Linked DNA regions of Caenorhabditis elegans. The protein of the gene in region 1 purifies or fractionates together with the protein of each later gene. This does not show direct contact. Each region holds a gene or a part of one and is shown in the gene's direction. Other genes may lie near its edges. The genes, in order: imp-2, tmed-10, pdi-6 and copb-2.

What was found.
Region 2: the proteins of imp-2 (region 1) and tmed-10 fractionate together in Caenorhabditis elegans (co-fractionation; one large-scale study listed by BioGRID). This does not show direct contact.
Region 3: the proteins of imp-2 (region 1) and pdi-6 fractionate together in Caenorhabditis elegans (co-fractionation; one large-scale study listed by BioGRID). This does not show direct contact.
Region 4: the proteins of imp-2 (region 1) and copb-2 fractionate together in Caenorhabditis elegans (co-fractionation; one large-scale study listed by BioGRID). This does not show direct contact.

The regions. Positions count from the first base shown.
Region 1 is NC_003282.8:11,116,197-11,120,668, reverse strand, and holds imp-2 (Intramembrane protease 2), read left to right. Parts: upstream 1-1,781; 5' UTR 1,782-1,805; coding exon 1,806-1,874; intron 1,875-1,995; coding exon 1,996-2,805; intron 2,806-3,085; coding exon 3,086-3,613; 3' UTR 3,614-3,937; downstream 3,938-4,472. Other genes in the region: enpl-1 (Endoplasmin homolog), read right to left, coding at 1-37, 886-955, 1,173-1,218; clc-9 (CLaudin-like in Caenorhabditis), read right to left, coding at 4,133-4,279, 4,332-4,423. UniProt on the Caenorhabditis elegans protein: Acts as intramembrane protease. In larvae, required for the complete shedding of the cuticle during molting, possibly by regulating cholesterol uptake via lrp-1. Involved in embryonic and larval development.
Region 2 is NC_003283.11:11,323,454-11,328,612, reverse strand, and holds tmed-10 (GOLD domain-containing protein), read left to right. Parts: upstream 1-1,648; 5' UTR 1,649-1,666; coding exon 1,667-1,771; intron 1,772-1,891; coding exon 1,892-1,954; intron 1,955-2,004; coding exon 2,005-2,329; intron 2,330-4,209; coding exon 4,210-4,331; 3' UTR 4,332-4,648; downstream 4,649-5,159. Other genes in the region: str-141 (Serpentine receptor class r-10), read left to right, coding at 4,793-4,972, 5,045-5,126.
Region 3 is NC_003284.9:7,065,840-7,070,330, reverse strand, and holds pdi-6 (Protein disulfide-isomerase A6 homolog), read left to right. Parts: upstream 1-1,767; 5' UTR 1,768-1,890; coding exon 1,891-1,924; intron 1,925-2,030; coding exon 2,031-2,339; intron 2,340-2,421; exon of another isoform or gene 2,422-2,562; intron 2,563-2,761; coding exon 2,762-3,425; intron 3,426-3,476; coding exon 3,477-3,792; 3' UTR 3,793-3,989; downstream 3,990-4,491. UniProt on the Caenorhabditis elegans protein: May function as a chaperone that inhibits aggregation of misfolded proteins. May negatively regulate the unfolded protein response (UPR) through binding to UPR sensors.
Region 4 is NC_003282.8:9,457,945-9,464,567, forward strand, and holds copb-2 (putative coatomer subunit beta'), read left to right. Parts: upstream 1-1,786; 5' UTR 1,787-1,792; coding exon 1,793-1,954; intron 1,955-2,023; coding exon 2,024-2,512; intron 2,513-2,557; coding exon 2,558-2,691; intron 2,692-2,740; coding exon 2,741-2,973; intron 2,974-3,085; coding exon 3,086-3,401; intron 3,402-3,448; coding exon 3,449-3,800; intron 3,801-3,855; coding exon 3,856-4,097; intron 4,098-4,144; coding exon 4,145-4,982; intron 4,983-5,054; coding exon 5,055-5,195; intron 5,196-5,267; coding exon 5,268-5,363; 3' UTR 5,364-6,076; downstream 6,077-6,623. Other genes in the region: F38E11.6 (Adenylate kinase), read right to left, coding at 6,370-6,399. UniProt on the Caenorhabditis elegans protein: The coatomer is a cytosolic protein complex that binds to dilysine motifs and reversibly associates with Golgi non-clathrin-coated vesicles, which further mediate biosynthetic protein transport from the ER, via the Golgi up to the trans Golgi network.

The DNA.
Region 1 (4,472 bases):
GACAGATAGTCCATCGAGCTTGATCGAATCTTCCTCTCTGAAAATATTATTTATCAATTTCAATTTTTTTTGTTAACTAGTTATATTTTTAAATTGTTTTAAACTGTATTGTGTTTTAATTGTACAGTTTTGATCTTTAATTTTCCAAAATTTTATCAGAAACCCTAGAAAATAATGCGTTCACTTCTAATCCGTGTATGGCATCCCTAATACTACACCTTCCATTAGCAGAAGATTAAATCTTGTGATTCGTATCTCCGTCCTTGACAGGCTATTACGTGAATCTAGGAAAGCATACGTTAAATTATCTAGGTCGGAGATAACCCTTTTAGTCTCTCTTGACCCTTCAGCCGATTTTTCTTATTTGAGAAAAAGGAAACACAAACAAGATAAGATAACCTAGCAGTAGATCGAGTCTGTTTGCATTCCGACAAAGGGCAAGACTCAATCAAATAGTGCTCCGCGGGAGTACAAAATAGTGTGCAAAACGGATGAGAGTCACCAAGTGGACTGACGCGACCTGGTACCGTTCAAAAGTTTTGGCTGAGGCCGGGGGTAGACAAATATTGAGATAGTTCAGAGTAACCAGGAAAAGGAACAGACACGTAGTGACAGGTCAATTTATTTGGAAAGTGGAAGAAAATGTGATTTATCTTTTTGGAACACTTAATCCAGCTAAAACTGTAACTATTCAATATTAAGAGCGAAAAACGAATTCGAAAGATATTTCTGATATATTAGATCTAATTAAAAATTAACAAGGTTATTGATTCTGATTTCGACATATTCACGAAATTGTTCAAAAAATGTACGAAACACAATTCAAAATTCTCTAGACTTTTTCAAATTGCAATTTTTCATAATAATCAAATTATCAAAAATTACCTTGTTTCTTCTTTGGTTTCCTTTGGTGCGTCTTCGATTTCATCTTCGGCGTAGACATTTGGAATGAAGGCTGAAAAGTGATGATTGTTGGGAATAAAAACGTGAATTCAAAAACTGCGTGGCGTGTATGCACAGAATGAAAAAATAAAGCCTAATGTTTTTATTCTGTGAACACAGTTTTAATATTTTCAGCGTACATTTAAGCTTAAAAATTTTTTTTACAATTTCAAAACTACGGTTTTCTATTTAAAGCTCACTAAGCTCTGAAAATCAATAAAAAGACATACCTGAAACAGCCAGAAGGGCGACGAAGCCCACCAAAAGGAATCTCATCGCCGTCTCTTCCTAACGACCGAGAATAAATGGAATGAGGTGTCTTTCCAACGGTCAATTACTCCCCTTTTCTCTCCGCTTGTTTGCTTTCTTTCGCCGGGGCTCACCCCTTCTCGACGTGTCCCTAAAAGTCCCGCCCCAATTTGCAAGTGCCGCACAGTGTCTGCGTCTCTTGCAAACACGTTGTCCTTCACTGAAAACTGCAAACTGCGGCGCGTTACTAGTTGCAAACAGAGGCGGAATCAGCCAATCAACGACCGAGACGACAGCTCAGAACACGTGGAGTGAGTGTCCTGGAACATTGTTTTTGTTTGCCGGATCCAGCAATATGGAATATGTTAATTTAAAAGACGATTTTTCAGTCTTTCTATTATAACAGTCACTCAAGTAATGTTCGGATCATCTAAATTAATCCTTATAGAAATTAATCATCTCACTTGTCTTGAGAATTTGTGAAATTTGTGATCGTTACTCAGCAAACTTACTTGTTTATCCGTCTCATAAACCGGTTTCTCATCTCAATCAGGCAATATACCTCCATTTCTTAATCTCAGTTTTTCCAGTTGGGAATTCAAACCTTTCGCGACATGGCTGAAGCAGCGACCGAAATCCCGCCGACGGCTAGCAATGTCACAGTTTTTACATTCGAAGAACAGGTGAGATTTTTACTGAAATTTTGTAAAATAAATGAAGTGGACAAGTATAAAATTACAACGAAGTTTTTATTAAATGTGATAAATAGCCATGCGAACTTTTTTAAATCAATTTTTCATTCAGGCTACAAGCTCGTTGGCGCTTTACGGAATGTCTATCCTCTGCATCATCATTGGATCGATTCGTTCAGCTCAATACATAAGGACGAATATTGACAAGAAGCGACTTATTGAAGGTTCGATCACTATGAGAGAAGCCAGGAAATTCCCTATTTCTGCTTCTCTGGTTCTCTTCGGTCTCTACCTCTTCTTCAAGCCTGCCGCCGAACGCTTCCTTTGGGTTGCCAGAGTCTTCCAAATTCTGCGAGTTCCCGAAGAATATGTCCAGAAGATCAATAGCACTATTATCAGCTATACCGCTAATACTACGACTACTGGGCCTTCCGAGCCATTCTTGCTCCGCTTGGCGTCAAGGATACCTCAAGAACGCGTTCCAGAAGCAATTCAAAATGCGGCTACATACGCTTATACCAACTTACCAACAATTCAAAAAGCAGAATGTATGCAACTCTTGACTTTCCTCATCTGTTTCGAAGGAGTCAACGCTTTCGCGTCTCTGTTGAAGCCATTTGTTACCGCGTTTCTCAAAAAGATGCCACTGGTTCCATCCTTCTTAAGATTCAATGCTCCGTACTTATTCTCTCTCAAAAAGGGAAATAAGGAAATGGAAGAGGGTGATATCGAAGATGCGAAGAAAAAGGAAACGGAATATCTTTTCAAAATTGACTTTGATCGTTACGATATCATCGCTTTATTGATGTGCTCTCCAATTCTCATTTCTCACCTGCTGAAAAGACACTGGATCACCAATAATATTATCGGAGTGAGCTTCTCAATCTTGGGAATCGAACGTCTTCATTTGGCCAGTTTCAAGGTAAATTTAACAATTATTAAAAAATATAGCAATATTTTTGTAATAAGACAAAAAAGCTACAATTACGCTTACTGAATGGAAGAATAATTTCAATTGACCAGATAGTAATAATATATTTTTGAACTAACTTGAAATATTTGGACAAAGTAAATAGTTCTCAATTTTGGCCTAAAGCTGTTTAAAAGAAACTTTTAAATATCAAACCGTTATTTGCAAAAATAGGTTTTAAAAAAATTTCATTGAAAAGACTAATTAATATCATTATTAATTTTTTTTACAGGCTGGATCCCTTCTTCTCGTTGGTCTCTTTTTCTATGACATCTTCTGGGTTTTCGGAACAGACGTGATGACATCTGTCGCAAAAGGAATTGATGCTCCGATTTTGCTCCAATTCCCTCAAGATATCTATCGAAATGGAATAATGGAAGCCAGTAAGCACAGTATGCTTGGGCTTGGAGACATTGTTATCCCTGGAATCTTCATTGCTCTCCTTCGTCGGTTCGACTACAGAGTTGTTCAAACGACTGCCGAGTCGAAGGCTCCACAAGGATCCTTGAAAGGACGATACTACTTCGTGGTTACTGTCGTCGCTTACATGGCTGGACTTTTCATCACTATGGCTGTTATGCATCACTTCAAGGCTGCTCAACCAGCTCTTCTCTATTTGGTGCCGTGTTGTCTTTTCGTACCCCTCCTTCTTGCTGTGATCCGTGGAGAACTTTCGGCTTTATGGAACTACGATGAATCAAGACATGTGGATAACGAAGAAAATCGAAAGAAAGTAGACTCCGGCAAGAAAAATAACTAAATGATTTAAAATAGTCTAAAGTATGCTATTCCTGCTTGTTATTCTGTTTTCGAAGAATACTTGAATTGGAAAACCTAACTTATCGTACTTTTGACTATTTCTAGATATTCTAGTCATTTAATTCAACTCGATTCCATGTCCCACCACATCCTAGCATAATCATTCTGATTCCTGTCCTTTCCATTGTTATCTTCCGTTTTCCCGGGTCTTTTTAGCTTTTCCAACCCCCTTACTGTCCTGTTTGAACCAAAAAAGGTATTTTGTTTTCATATTTATTTACATGTATTTAGTAACTTATTCTATAAATGCATTGAATTTATTTATACGTTCATCTTTTTTTAAATATATACAGACCACAATAACGAAGTAGCTATCAAATGTCATTCAGAAAATCAAAATATCCTGTTACATTATTAGCTAACATATCAACATAATAAGGTGAAAGAGTTTTGGGGATGACACCCGCGAAAGAGCAATATTTTTGAAAAGTGAAAAGAAATTGGTCGAAATGTGAAAGTTTTAGAGTGATGTACTTGTTACTTTGGACTGTCGTTTTTTATTTTTGTGAACGAGAACGAATGCAGAACCAAACAGACTACACACGAAAGCTGCCCACTGTAGGAGGGAAGAAAAACCAAAAACATAATATGCCCAACCGTAATGAATCTGAAATTTCGAATTTTTGTAAATAACTTTAATTTTGCAAATATGAACAAACCTGAAACTGATATCCGGATACCAATTCATATTGATTGTCTTTCAATTCGTAATAGTAGGTATACGTCAAAAATCCAGATAGAGAACACATTGCTGAAATTATTTCAGTGATGAATCAACTTTTAAAATTGAAATCTACGTT
Region 2 (5,159 bases), on another chromosome or scaffold:
CGAAATGAGCTCTGAATTTCGGCGGATCTGAAAATTTTTTTTGACCAAAAACAGAATTTTGCAAATAAAAATTGATTTTAGAGCAATTTATTGCATAAATATTCAATTTTAGAATTTTTACTAATAGTTTGAATCTTTTTAAAGTGTTTTAGTCATTAATTTGACTGATAACACAGAAAATGATTTTTCTTTACAACGAAATCGATAAAAAAGTAAAGCAACATTTATCAAGGGAAATCTTGCAAAATTGGTTAAAAAACTTGTATGAAATCAAAGATTTCACTAGAATAAAGCTACAAATCAATCAAAATCACTAAAAGTACAAATAGTTCTGATCAAATTTCAATGTTCCAATCTACCAATGGATCTATGCCACGCCAAATTTCTTATGCAAGTGTTGCTCTCCAATTTTCCTTAAAAAATGGATCAAATACTCACATAAATGATCAAATTAACATTTTTTACAAGTTTCGTGTTATATTTTCTTTTTCTTAATAAGGAACCATCAGGTTCTTCCTGCCCTCTACGGCTCTAGATACCTCAACTTCGACAACTCCTATCTACTCGGAGAGGTGAGAGAACTTGTAGAGCACATCAAAAACTATGATATTCAATTTAACCTGCGTTTTTATCTTTCAAGATGGGGGAGTTAGACGTACATTTGTATTGCATGCTTTTTGTTATTCTACTGGCTGCTCTAACTCCCTCATCTTAAGAGATAAACACATGATTTTAACTAATTAGTATAGTTTCTACAATTTCCTAGTTAATCACTTTTTGATATCTTGCATCTCTGAGGAGATAGGAGTTGTCGAAGATACAGTATCTATAGCTATGCGCATATGAAGAATCTAATGGATTCTCATCATGCTATACTACTTATCATCTGCTTTTTGTGGGAAACAATGATTCAAAAATGTTTTTTCAAATGATCAAACAAGTTGTGATTTGATCTGAACATTTAGTGTTGGTTTAGTGAAGATCAGCTGCCAACTAAACAGTTTCCGTTGATGTGGGCATTTTTGAACAATTTCAAGACGTGAAACCGTGTTATCTCTATCAAGCTGACGTTTAAAAATTGGAATCAAACATATTAATGCTTGAAAAAATTTGTTTCGCGTAGAAATTTTGTCATAAAGTTAACTTGTTCTAGTCGGTTCGAAAATCAATGAAAAAGCAGCCAAATCGTGAATTTGTTGAATAAAATGTTTTTTAAAACTTTTTTAAAGCAATAATAATCCCAATATTTAATTATTTTTTCCAAATTTCATCTTGAAAACTCGAATAATCGCGAAATTTCGTCTGAAACTCATTTAATACCGTAAAAGTGTGCAAACGCGCTCCGTTGGACTTTCCTATTCTCGATTTTCTTAACTCTCCCGATTTGAGGCGCTGTGTTTTCCTGTTAAAATGCGTTTGTCAACGTTGACAACTCAACTACGGTTGCCAATGCGTGTTTGCGTACACACTCGATCCCACGCGCAACTGCATACGCCGCGTTGGTTTTAATTCCATCTTTTTTAAATTTATTTTCGGCGTTTGTATTGATTTTTGCTGTGTATTCCTTTAACATGAACTGATTTTTGTCCATGATAACTTTTGAACAACTTAATATTCATTATCGCATTTTTCTTACATTTATTTCCAGGTAATCATCCGAACAATTATGAAATCTCTAGTTATCTTTCTGTCAGCTATCGTTCTTGCCCATTCTCTGAGGTTCTACGTGCCACCAAAAGAGAAAAAGTGTCTGAAAGAGGAAATTCACAAGGTAAATACTTTTACAACTCCTTGTTACCATAGCAGTAAAGATGTCAAACATACTTTTTTTCGTTAAAAATTGATATATTTAATAAACATCAGAATTTATGTCTAATAAAACCTCTTGCAGAATGTGGTCGTAACAGGAGAATATGAGTTCAGTCAAGGAATTCAATACACTGGAAGTATTCACGTGAGTAAAAATAGTTTCAAAATTACTTCAAATTTTTAATTTATTTTCAGGTCACCGACACCAGAGGCCACACTCTCTACAAACGTGAAAACTTTGCTGATCTAAAAGGAAAATTCGCGTTCACTGCTGACGAATACGACATCTTTGAGATTTGCATTGAGAATCATCCACCAGCTGGGCATCCTGGAGAGAAGCGCGAGGTTTCTCTTATTTTGAAGCACGGAGTCGAAGCCAAGAATTATGATGATATTGCCAAAGCCGAGAAGCTGAAGCCACTCGAGGTTGAACTTAGAAGATTGGAGGATATGGCTGATTCAATCACCAAAGATTTCGCATTCATGCGCCAAAGAGAGGAAGAAATGAGAAATACGAACGGTAAGTGTTTAAAAAATCATTTGAATCATATAAAAGGTTCGTAATTATTTTAATTTAAAAATAATGCATTGCCGATTATCCAAGTACAGTGCTCCACATAATGATACGGCCACCCCCAAATTTTGGTATAACTCAAAACTGGGTTGAGATAGCAAAACATAATTTCTTGTGAAAATGTCCGCTGTACTGGCTAACTTTCAGATAAGTATTGGAAATATACATGAACCGTTCGTAAAAAAAGATAAACCATTTTTTCATGAAAATCCATATAAAAAAATCCACAAAATGATACGGCCACCCTTGGTTATTGTTTTCTTTTTTCGTTTTCTTTGCAATTTTTTTTGCTAAACGTTAGGTTTCATGTTCGTTTGTGTTTTTACAGCTATGTGTCGTGGAATAACTTTAACTGACTACGGAAAAAGACAAATTGTGCAAAATTATCTCAAGGCTTTTCGGATCGTCAGATTTCTCGTGATTTGAAACGTTCGAGAGATATGATCATTCGATATGCTTCAAATCCTGCCGCTCATTGCACCAAACAGTCTTCTGGTCGCCCACCACTTCTTTCTGGTAGAGACAAGCGAAAAATCGTTCGTCGAGCATCAAATTGAACAGTGACTTTCTCAAAAATTAGGCGCGAGATGAACCTGCCAGTGTCTGTTGAGACTGCACGACGTGTTCTTTCGAATTCCCAGTTTATCAAAAGACGAAAATTGAGAAAGGCTCCTTTCATTACCGAAAAAACCGCTAAAATCGTATTCAGTTAGCTAAAATCAGCCAGAGAACTAACTGGAGACAAGTGAAGATTACCGTATGATCATTCAAGCCCAATTTTGGTTTTAGTTCATCTTTTCTTCTCTCAAATCGTACCAGTAATCACGGTAGCCTTCTGGTTCATCACAGTTAAACTTTTCCTCGTCACTGAAGATGATCTGAGACCAATACATGAGCTTGAATGATCATACCGTAATCCTCACTTGTCTCCAGTTAGTTCTCTGGCTGATTTTAGCAAACTGAATACGACTTTGGCAGTGTTTTTCGGTAATGAAAGGAGCCTTTCCTAATTTTCGTCTTTTGATAAACTGAGACTTCGAAATAACACGTCGTGCAGTCTCAACAGACACTGGCAGGTTCATCTCGCGCCTAATTTTTGAGCAAGTCACTGTTCAATTGGATGCTAGACGAACGATTTTTCGCTTGTCTCTACCAGAAAGAAGTGGTGGGCGACCAGAAGACTTTTTGGTGCAATAAGTGGCAGGATTTGAAGCAAATCGAGTGATCATATCTCTTGAACGTTTCAAATCACGAAAAATCTGACGATCCGAAAAGCCTTGAGATAATTTTGCACAATTCGTCTTTTTCCGTAGTCAGTTAAAGTTATTCCACGACACATAGCTGTAAAAACACAAACGAACATAAAACCTAACGTTTAGCAAAAAAAAATTGCAAAGAAAACGAAAAAAGAAAACAAAAACCAAGGGTGGCCGTATCATTTTGTGGATTTTTTTATATGGATTTTCATGAAAAAATGGTTTATCTTTTTTTACGAACGGTTCATGTATATTTCCAATACTTATCTGAAAGTTAGCCAGTACAGCGGACATTTTCACAAGAAATTATGTTTTGCTATCTCAACCCAGTTTTGAGTTATACCAAAATTTGGGGGTGGCCGTATCATTATGTGGAGCACTGTATTAAGCTTTTATTATCATTGTTAATTAAATAGATTTGTAAGGCTACAACATATCGTTTCGAGACGCAATTCATTCTCTTCACGGAGCAGGATATTGTGATCCCTGGAAATTGTTTACCACTTTACTTGAGCAAACTCTAATTATTCGATTCATCGACAACCATCTATTTTTTACTTTTTTTTACAGAATCGACAAACAGCCGAGTTCTTTACCTGTCCATCTTTTCAATGCTGTGCCTTCTTGGTCTTGCCATTTGGCAAGTTCTTTTCCTCCGTAATTACTTCAAGTCGAAAAAGCTTATCGACTAGATTTCCCCAACCCTTAATTTATGATTAATTTATCAATTTTTTTTTCGGTTCTCCTCAACTTCTTGCTTTTCCCCCAACATCTCTTTTGTCCACACACCCAAACGTTTCATGTGATTTCTAATTGGTTCCCACATCTTTTTTACTAGATAATGATGATAATGAGTATTTTATTTTGTTGGATTTTAGTTGTTTCCTCCCCCGTTAATCTGCACAAGTATCAACAAAGGGTAAAATGTATAGTGTGTAATGTTTCCGTCTTATTTTTCTGTTTTCATCATTGCCGTTTTTTAAAATCATTATTATGAACTTTTAAATTGAAACATTGAAACATCAATTGGTAATTTACTCACCATATGGTGATTTAGTAAAGTACATAAGATCACTTTTCAAGAAGTCTTTTTCAGACGTCATCCTTTCAGAAATAACTTCAGACTTCATTCTCCACCAGTTCACTTACAACAATGATCGGTCTACATATTTTCCACTACGCCGGCTTTTTCGGAGCACAAATCTTCAATACTGTTCTGGCAATATTAATTGTGAAAAGAGCTGGAAAACTGTTTGGTAGTTACCGTCATGTTATGTTTGTATTCACATTTTGTTCGATGTTGTACTCTGCAGTAGAGATAATTGCACAGCCGGTACGATACAATAGAAAATTGGAACTTGAAATTGAAATTTTGAGAATGTTACTTCAAATAATCGTCTTTCAGGTACTATACATGAAAGGTCCAATGTTTGTCGTGTTTCTTGATAATAACGTTTTTTCTCAAGGCATTGGAAATGTAGTTGCTTGTTAGTTTTAAACATTTTACTTTTCATAGAACT
Region 3 (4,491 bases), on another chromosome or scaffold:
ATACGGTATTCTCACATACCTTGTTTCAGTTGTTTTCAAGTGTGCTCCCTAATGATTCTAAGTTCAGAATTTAGAGAATTACTGTAATTCGTGTTTGTTTCATGTCTCTTAATTTTATAAAAGTTTACATTTCAAAGGAACAGTTCAGTCTTAGAAAAATTCAAAATTTGATGCATAGGATTGACTGACTATTATCTGACTATTGGACTGACTAGGAGAAGAATCTTCCTGAAGATAACTTTTCTTTTTATTTTTAGATAAATTATATGGTTTATTAGATAAAATGGCAATAAAAATCAGACTCTGTTCGTACATTTTCTTTAACAATGTTAGCCATCAAAGAAAAATATTTAGAATTTGCCTTTGAAGGGACAAGTTTTCCTGTGAATTCTTTCAATTACATTGAAATTCCTCTATTGTAAATACAAATTAATCAAAAGACAAAGTGTCGATTTACGCTAAACATTGCGCATGTGGAATTTCGGAATCTTGTTCGTTCTTTACATCTGCAAACTTGGGTAAGAAGTTGGCAAAACTTGGCTAAGGCTTGGGCAGAACTCGGGCGAGGGAGTTTACACTAGAATTGCTGAAGTTGGGTAAGACTTGGGCATACTCTGGGTTAGAAGTTGGCAAGAGTTGGGTAAGAAGCTGAAAAGGCCCAAACTTGGGGAAGAAGCTGTCGGGAATTGCCGAGGAATTCTTTAGTGCTGAGACATCCGGAAAATGGTATTCGCCAGATAAGATGTTGTGGTAGGTCCTTAATATTTGGAGAATTCGCTGGTGTTGAATGGATTTTTGATTTGACTGAGCCAGTCGATCATCGTACGACGTGTTTGAGACATTGCATCGTTGATACACTCTTCTTGAATAGAATTTCAGCGGCATTTCAAGTAGCTTTATCAGACGTTTGGAGTTAGGGTTGTAGACCTCACATCCGTAATTCAGCAGCGGTTGAACGTAAACGTTGTATAACTTAAAGTACAAACTGACATTGGTAAAGCGAAAGCATCGAAGAAGCTGTCTACACTTGAGGAAAGCAGAATTTGATACATATTCGATATGTTTTTGGAAGTTTAGCTTGCAATCCACGAAAATGTCTAGATCGTTGACTGAATACTTTTTAATTATTTGTATTCCATTCGCATGATAATCTGTTCTTGGGTTGCGCTTCCCGAGGTGTATGACATTGGTTTTGTTCTCGGCCAAGTTTAAGTTTCACTTTGCACACCAATCAGTGACGACATTGATCGCTTTTTGCATAGAGTCCGAATTTTCACCGAGTATCTTGATATCGTCGGCAAATGCGTATACAAAAACATCCGTGGGGAACAGTTCCAGTAGGTAATTAATGTAGACAAGGAATAAGAACGGTCCACTGACCGTATCGCAAGATTATTTTGTTGGAAATCTTCAATTAACACCTTTATTCCAAATAACTATTTTTGGCATTGAGAGTGTTACAAGTTTATTTCAAGATAAACAATTTATAAATGTTAGATGTAAAAATATTTTTGAAAACAAGAAAGAACAAACACTGAGGAATTTTATTTTGTCGTGTAATCATCGAAATGTTTTCAGTTATTTCGATAAATTAATAGATTCTGTTAAAAAAACATTTTTTTTATTAAATTTTTCTTTTTAAAACGTCTTCCCTAACCCTCATAGTTTTCTCATTGCATTTCGCAACTCTCCATTTAATGCCTGTGCCGGGGCCGTGGCGAGAACTATTTGCGCAAAGCGCTCTACTGTACGACACGTTGACCAATCAACTGCACACACACGACGCGCAACGTCACACTCCCGCCCTCTGTACACGCATTTGACTCAGTTTGGAATCGCTCCCCATTCTGTACGGTCTCACAGACAAACCAGTGAGATTAGTGGATCGTCATGGCTCTCATCAAGTTGCTCCTCGCATCTTTGGGTAAGTTTTTGTTTTAGAAAATGTGAAGTATTCTTCATTTGGTGTTTTTGATTAGGAAAAAAGAATTTTATACAAAACTAATATTAAATTAATTAAAATTTTGCAGCGATAACTTCGGTATGTGGAATGTACTCAAAAAAGGATGATGTCGTCGAGCTGACCGAGGCCAATTTCCAATCAAAGGTTATCAACTCTGATGATATTTGGATTGTTGAGTTCTATGCTCCATGGTGCGGTCACTGCAAGAGTCTGGTCCCAGAATACAAGAAAGCTGCTTCAGCACTCAAGGGAGTCGCCAAGGTTGGAGCCGTTGATATGACTCAACATCAATCCGTCGGAGGACCATACAATGTTCAAGGATTCCCAACTCTCAAGATCTTCGGAGCCGACAAGAAGAAGCCAACAGACTACAACGGTAAGCAATTATCCAATTTCTTCTTAATAATTTACAAGCGGAAATTTGGATTGGTTGTCGACAAACTTGCACAAAAATAACTGAAAAAGGACAATAGTCACAAGCCGGTACGGCAAACAAAAACTGATTTGTCTCATTTCCACCCTCTCCCCACTCGAACTATTTTCTGTGTGCACTGTCGGTCAGTCAATTGAGCTGGCCGCAACTAGTTGTGTGTTTAGTAACTGTTTGCTCAGATATTATGTTTGGCCGATCCGCTCTATAGATGTGGACGACCTTGCGGCAAAGTAATTGTGCGTACCAGTCTATAGGGTGGAAGATAGGAGAGACGCCGGCCTCTGAGCGATCTGGGTCATTTAGAGCGTGCGTGTGTCTGTGTATGTGTGTAAAAAGACCAAGATGATATTGATTTATTTTTGCAGGACAAAGAACTGCTCAGGCAATCGCTGACTCGGTTCTCGCTGAAGCCAAAAAGGCAGTCTCTGCTCGGCTTGGAGGAAAATCATCAGGAAGCAGCAGCAGTGGATCCGGATCTGGATCTGGAAAGCGTGGAGGAGGTGGATCTGGAAATGAAGTTGTTGAACTTACTGATGCCAACTTCGAGGATCTCGTTCTCAACAGCAAGGATATCTGGCTTGTCGAGTTCTTTGCCCCATGGTGCGGACACTGCAAAAGCCTTGAGCCACAATGGAAGGCCGCCGCTTCTGAACTCAAGGGCAAAGTTCGTCTCGGAGCTCTCGACGCCACTGTTCATACTGTCGTCGCCAACAAGTTCGCCATTCGTGGATTCCCAACCATCAAGTATTTCGCTCCAGGATCTGATGTTTCTGACGCTCAAGACTACGATGGAGGACGTCAATCTTCTGACATCGTTGCCTGGGCTTCAGCTCGTGCTCAAGAAAACATGCCAGCTCCAGAGGTCTTTGAAGGAATCAACCAACAAGTCGTAGAGGATGCATGCAAGGAGAAACAGCTTTGCATTTTTGCCTTCCTCCCACACATTCTTGACTGCCAATCGGAGTGCAGAAACAATTATTTGGCTATGCTCAAGGAGCAATCCGAGAAATTCAAGAAGAACCTTTGGGGGTATGTTTTATATAATTTTACAAAATTTCATTCTAATTTAAATAATTTCAGATGGATTTGGGTTGAAGGAGCCGCTCAGCCAGCTCTTGAGGAGTCCTTCGAAGTTGGAGGTTTTGGATATCCAGCCATGACTGCTTTGAACTTCCGCAAGAACAAGTACGCCGTGCTCAAGGGATCCTTCGGAAAAGATGGAATCCACGAGTTCCTCCGTGATCTCTCGTATGGAAAGGGACGCACTTCTTCCCTTCGAGGAGATGGATTCCCAAAGATTCAGAAGACTGAGAAGTGGGACGGAAAGGACGGAGCCCTTCCAGCTGAAGACGACATCGACTTGTCTGACATTGACCTCGATAAGACCGAGCTTTAAAATCATGAATTTTCTACATACATCGACACCAAAAACTTACTCTCACCATGCAATTTTGTTTTAATTGTAACGGGTGTTCTCACCAGATAACTCGTCTAACTGCGTTACATCCATACATGTTTTGTGACTTTAGCGATTTTTCTCGTATTTATTTATTTTTGTTCTCTGTTTTGTTAAATAAAGTATTTCAGGAAGCTATGGATTATTAAAAGTGAAAATCAAAAATCTTCGGTTGAAGGTTTTCAAATTCTTGATTTTCTTTTTCAATACGGAACTAAGGGTTGAGAAATATTTAATATCGATGTAAGATATATTTTTAATAACTTTCAGCTGCTAGAGCAACTTAATAATTCAAACGTTACCAATTCAATTACTCGGGCACAAAGGGATACAAAACCAAAGAAGCAGAAAACTTGTGCTGGTCAGATCAAATAAGTAAAATTTGGTGATTTTCACCACTATTAGTCAAGAAACAAAGTTATGAACTGATATGTTTAGATTGTTTTTTTTTCTGGTTTATGTTCACATTCAACCACACCATTTGTTCTGAGCTTTTTCAAGGTTACGTGCTCCTAGTTCATATTCATAATTCATATTCATTTTCATTTTCATATTCATATTCAAAAGAGTTGTTTGCGATTTTTTAAAATAAATTTCCGAAATGTTGATTGTTTCAGAATATTTTACAGATTCTTTTTC
Region 4 (6,623 bases), 1.7 Mb from region 1:
ATACTGACCAGATTAACGTTTTGAATTTTCAAAATATCCCCATCCGCATTGCTGCAGGCCTTCAGAACTTTTGAGATCACGATCTTTATGGCACGCAAGTCGGCATTCTGCGGGATTTCTACATTTTTCTCGAGGAATCCATCAAGTATCTTACAAGTTTTTATAGTTCAAAGAATGCTCTTGGTCTGGAGATTCTTTAAAAACAAAAATCCAAAAAATTTCTATCGTGGTATTTCTGTACGGACTGTGGCAGTAGTTTAGGTCTTGAATGACACAGTCGCCAGAAAGATGGATGTGAGCGGCGGCACCAGTATTCATTTTAGTACTTTTTGGCACGGTTTGACCTGAATTTTCAGAATTTTTAGAAAAAAATTAGCTCTGCTGATTTTGTGGGTCGTTACGCCTTGTGAAACCAAAAAAACTGAGTAAATTTCGGAAAGTTTAATTCATGAAATATTCAAAGGTTCTTGCTAGGCGCCAGTGTCGACACAGAAAATTTTTATATGCTACAAAAACAATCAAAAACGCTTCTTCATTTCTTTAACTTTCAATTTAACATAAAAATCATACATCTGAAAATTATTGGCGTGCGTGGGAGGTGCGTTTGTGTGGGAAGTGCCGCGTGCCAAAATGCCGTTTTAAAAAGGGTTCGCCAAATTGCCGAGGTGATTAAAATCGCACCTTATTGGGAAACATTACAAATTTTGGGTCAAATTGAAGGAAATTTATTCAGCTATCAGTATTCGATAGAAAAATGTACGTATGACGTGGCAGTCGCGCGAAAATCTCATGTAAAAGAGCGCTTCATGTGTTACCATACTTTTGGCCCACCCTGTATGAACATGGGTTCGTACCATGGAACCACAACGAAAATGACCAAAAGTTCCATATTTTTGAAGTCCCACAGAAAGCTATTTATTTTCTACCAGTTGTTGCATTACGTTTTGATTATTTGTATTTGAGCATTGTGTTGTCAATATTATAAGAATCATACCATTTCCACACACACACACACACACATTTTACATAAATAATTAGCTAAATTTATGTAAATTCTCTTGATAATTTACAAAAAGAACGAGCAAAATCGGTTATTCTTATTATTCCTGACTCGTATCGAGTACTCTTTCTACTATAATATTGCTCTTGGTTTGGACATTGTGGAGAACACAACAATAAGCAAGAAGATTGCCATAATCAGGTAAAACTAAGGCTGCAAAGGGGGCCTCTTCGATTTTAAGATATAACTGAGTTTTTTGAAAAATCTAAAACGTTTAAGGTTGTCCAGAGCAAAATTTGCATAAACATTCAACAACTTCACTATCAGTTTCAAAAAAAGTTGATTTTTCTCGTAATTTTTTTTCATTCATTTTACAACATTTCCTGAATGCAATTTTATTTATAAAATCTGCCACGAAGCAGCCACCGTTCGTAAGAGACACCTCACAAATGTGAGAAACGCAGACAAAAAAGTCAAAGGCACGCCGACTTTCCCGCTGTGGTCTCGATACGATCGGGGCTTTCTGAGTTGGCGATGGATGCGCCTCTACCTTTTGAGTGTTCTATCGTTTCGCCAACGTATCTTTTGATGAATTTTAAGATTTTCTTCTAAAAAAGATTAATTTCGGTTGATTTAAACATCTGAATTCTAAAAATCCAGAATATTATCGATTTTTGAATGTTCTTTCGGTTTTATTTTATTTCTATAAGCTGACTATTTGCAAATCTTCCTCTTCGTGCTCAGCTTAATTTTACATTGAGTTTATTTATTTTAGCTTTTTTTCAGAACAAGATGCCTCTCCGACTTGATGTAAAAAGAAAGCTTCTGGCTCGTTCGGACCGCGTGAAATGTGTCGACTTGCATCCAGTCGAAACATGGCTTCTAGCTGCTCTTTACAATGGAAATGTTCACATCTGGAATTACGAAACACAAACGCTTGTAAAGTCATTTGAAGTAAGCTTTTTTTCAAATTTATGTGCAAACTTCATGAAATTACGAAATAACTGAATCTAAATTTTGCAGGTGTGTGACGTACCAGTTCGTGCAGCGAAGTTCGTTCCAAGAAAGAGCTGGGTTGTCACGGGATCTGACGATATGCATATTAGAGTTTTCAACTACAACACATTGGAACGAGTTCATCAATTCGAAGCACATTCTGATTATCTCCGATCGCTCGTTGTTCATCCAACACTTCCCTACGTCATTTCATCATCCGACGACATGCTTGTTAAAATGTGGGATTGGGATAACAAATGGGCAATGAAACAGTCATTCGAAGGGCATACTCATTATGTCATGCAGATTGCCATCAATCCAAAAGATAATAACACTTTTGCAACTGCTTCTCTTGACAAAACTGTCAAAGTATGGCAGTTCGGATCGAATGTTCCGAATTTCACTTTGGAAGGACACGAGAAAGGAGTCAACTGTGTCGATTACTATCATGGTGGAGAGAAACCATACATTATTTCTGGAGCTGATGACCATCTGGTCAAGATTTGGGATTACCAAGTAAGTTTTTTTTCTCTTTGCATTCATCCAAAATGATATTTTCAGAATAAAACGTGTGTGCAAACGCTCGATGGACATGCGCAAAATGTGTCTTCAGTTTGTTTCCACCCAGAACTGCCATTGATAATCACAGGATCCGAAGACTCCACTGTTAGATTGTGGCATGCAAACACCTACAGGCAAGAACATTAAAGTACGATTTCCACAACAACAATTTAAAATTTTTAGACTGGAAACAACCTTGAATTATGGGTTGGAACGTGTTTGGTGCATCCAAGCTCAAAAAGGAGCCAACACTATTGCCATCGGATACGACGAAGGTTCCGTCACGTTGAAATTAGGCCGAGAAGAACCAGCAGTCAGTATGGATTCGTCTGGAAAGATTTTGTGGGCAAAGCACTCCGAAATTCAGCAAGCTAACCTGAAGACAATCTCAACTGAAGAGTCGGAAGCCATTCAAGGTTTGGAAAACTTTCATTCGACTTTTGTATAGTTCGGCACATGTTTTCTGAAAGTATTAAAAAAAGAGAAATTGTGTTCATTTATTATCACTCTAAGACAGTTCATTTACAGATGGAGAACGTCTGCCGCTTTCTGTAAAAGATCTCGGATCTTCTGAAATCTATCCACAAACCCTTGCTCATTCATCTAATGGACGTTTTGTTGTCGCTTGTGGTGACGGAGAATACATTGTTTATACTGCAATGGCTCTCAGAAACAAGGATTTCGGACAAGGACTCGAGTTTGTCTGGGCTGTTGATCCAAATATGTTTGCTGTCCGTGAATCTGCCACCAATGTGAAGATAAAGAAGAACTTCAAGGATCACAAGTCAATTCGTTCAGATATGGTACTTGAGGGAATTTCTGGTGGACCACTTCTTGCCTTGAGGTTTTTGAACTCTTATCAATTGACTTTTATTTAATTTTTTGTTTCAGATCGAACAACTCTTTGTGCTTCTTTGATTGGGAATCAGCCGTTCTTGTTCGTCGTATCGAAATTACTTCCAAGAGCATCTATTGGAGTGACAACGGAGAGATGGTCGCAATTTGTGGAGATGATTCATTCTACGTTCTCAAGTACAGTGCTGAAGCAGTTGCCAATGCAACAGAAGTGACCGAAGACGGTATTGAAGACGCGTTTGAGGTTATTGGAGAACAGGCAGAAGCTGTGAAGACGGGATTCTGGATCGGGGACTGCTTTATTTTCACCACTGCACTCAATAGAATCAACTATTATGTCGGTGGAGAAATTGTCACTATTGCTCATGTTGATAGACCACTTTATTTGGTGAGATTTTAAAACATGCGTTGTTCTTATCATTTTTAAAACTTAAATATTTTAGTTGGGATACATGGCTAAGGAATCTCGAGTCTATGCCGTCGATAAGGATCTCAACGTGATCTCATACAAACTTCTTCTATCTGTTCTTGAATATCAAACTGCTGTAATGCGCCGTGACTTCGATACTGCTGACAAGGTACTTACTACAATTCCAAAAGAGCAGAGAACTCGTGTTGCTCATTTCCTCGAAAAGCAAGGATTCAAGAAGCAGGCTCTTGCGGTCTCTCAAGACCCTGATCACAAGTAAGACAATTTTCAGCTTTTCAGCAATAATTTTGGAACGTTTTCAGATTCGATCTCTCGGTAGCTCTTGGAGATTTGAAGACTGCCTACGATTTGGCACTGCAAAGCGATTCAGAAGAGAAATGGAAGGCTCTCAGCAACGCCGCCACTCTTAAGTCGGAACTTCTTCTTGCTGGTGAATGTCTTGGAAGAGCTCGCGATTTCGGAGGTCTAATGCTTCTTGCAACGTGTGCCGGATCAGCTCCTCTTCTTCAGAAACTTGCGGATGACTCTGCTGCTGCCGAAAGCCACAATATCAGCTTCCTCAGTAGTTTGCTTCTTGGAGATATTGATGCTTGTCTAGACAAACTTATTTCGACTGGTCGCCTCCCAGAAGCAGCGTTCCTTGCTCGAACACATGCGCCGTCTCGAGTTTCATCTATTCTTGAATTGTGGAAAGCCAAGGCTTCGGGACACAGCGAAAAGAGTAGCAGAAAGATTGGAGAATCTCTTGCCGATCCAGTGAAGTATGAAAACTTGTTCCCTGGATTTACCCAATCACTGAAAGCAGAATCTTTCGTTCGTGAGATCTCCAAGATTCCAGTCCCAGCATCCGTTCGAGTGCCATCAGCTGCTACCCGGAATATTCAAGAGGAATTGGATGAAGCTGTTGCTTCGGGAGCAGTTTCTTTTACTGATGATGGCCAAGCAGTACTTAAGAATGCCCCAAGACAAACCGAGACACAATTGAAAGCTCCACCTCCTCCATCAGTTGCACGTCAACCCTCGCCTGTACGCCAGCCATCCCCTATTCGTGAGCCATCACCGATCCGCGAACCTGAACCTGAAGAAGAGGAAGAACAGGAAGAATTCGATGATGATCAGCAAGAGGTGCATGTTCCAGCTGTACGTTTTGAACAGTTTTTTATTCATATGGAATTTGACTATTCGTTGCTAGAATCACCAATTTATTTTCAGAATCAAGAAAGTGCCGATGCTCATGGAACATCTAAAACTCCTGATGTTGTTCTTGAGACAAGCCGGCCTGATATTGTCCCACCACGGGGGTCCGCCGCTCCAGATTTGGTTTCCGCGTCTTCACAACAATCTGCTCAAGATGTAAGTATTTATTTATAAATGTTTTGAAAATTATATAAACTGCGAAAATTCAATCAATTAATCCAATTACAGTTCCAAGATGATACGCAATGGTCAGATGAAGATTTTGGAGATGCTGAAAATGGAGACCTGAATATGGACGATCTAAATTTAGACGAGGAAGATTGACTGGTAGTCGATCGATCTGCCCAACAAGATCAGAAAGACTGAGTATCAGTGTTATTTTTTTGTGTATGTAATTTAAGCCCCCCCCCCCCCCCCTCCCGTCCTATCAATGTCCCCATTCCATCCGTAATTTCATGCACAATTTTTTGACGAATGATTCAGAGCAGATCGATCGATAGATAATTATTTTATTTTTCATGTTTCACCCCAAAAAGAGGTTTTTTTCTAACCCATCTGGTGTCGGTCACTCTCTAACATTCTTTGGGAAATTGTTAATTAGTATTATGGGAATGTGATAATGTTTTTCTTATCAAATAATTATGTAATTTATAGTGTTTTTGGCGCACTCGTCTTTTTTTGTGATTTTTATTTCTACTGGTCACTCCTGTCGTAAGCTCCCTTTGCCAACTATCCACCCAATTCATCCCTCCCCGTTTTCATATTTCTGCCTTCAAAATCACATAACTTATTGAATTTTTATGTTTATCGCCCTTTCTGATTTATAAGTAAACACTAAGTTATTTCCAGCTTTTTTGTGCGGTGTTTTTTGTATTCTAGGGGTTTTCTTCGAAGTTTTGTTCTATGGCTTTTTCCACTTCTACTATCATCCTCCCCAAAACTTTCGTGTTAACGAAAAAATGATGTAATGAGAGTTTTATTGATTGAAATGATTTTTTTTTCTTTTAACCGTGTTTGAATAAACGGAACAGAAAGTGTATGTGTGGCTGATCAGGAACAATTTGTAGATATTTATGTCTACACAAGTGATAATCAAAAGGCACTTCAAAAAAGGAGCAAAATGATAAGAGGCGTCGAGCCGATTTCAATACGGAAAAAGCGTATTCGGCGACAATCCGATACGATTTTTGGCACGGAATCCCATTTGACGAGGTTGAGCCGAAACTGAACGAGCTTCTCTTTCCATTGGTGGCTCTTCAGTATGTCTTGAAATTCGTTCGGAAGATTCGCTTCGCCGCTTGTTTAATGTTTCCGACTCGACGCCACCCCGTCAACTGTCTCGTGGTTGGCTTTGTTCTTTCTGAAATGATCATGATACTATAACAATATGATATAACATGTCGAAATTTTGTGAGATTTCTTTAAATAACCTAGTTTTTCAGTTCTCATAAATGTTTATTTTTGAATCTACACATTTCACATTTCCTTGATTTTTTACGATCCATCACTCATACGAAAACATGTGATTAATTTTGTCCCGCTTTCTCAAGGGGACTCCAAAAATTGTATATAATACTCAATGTA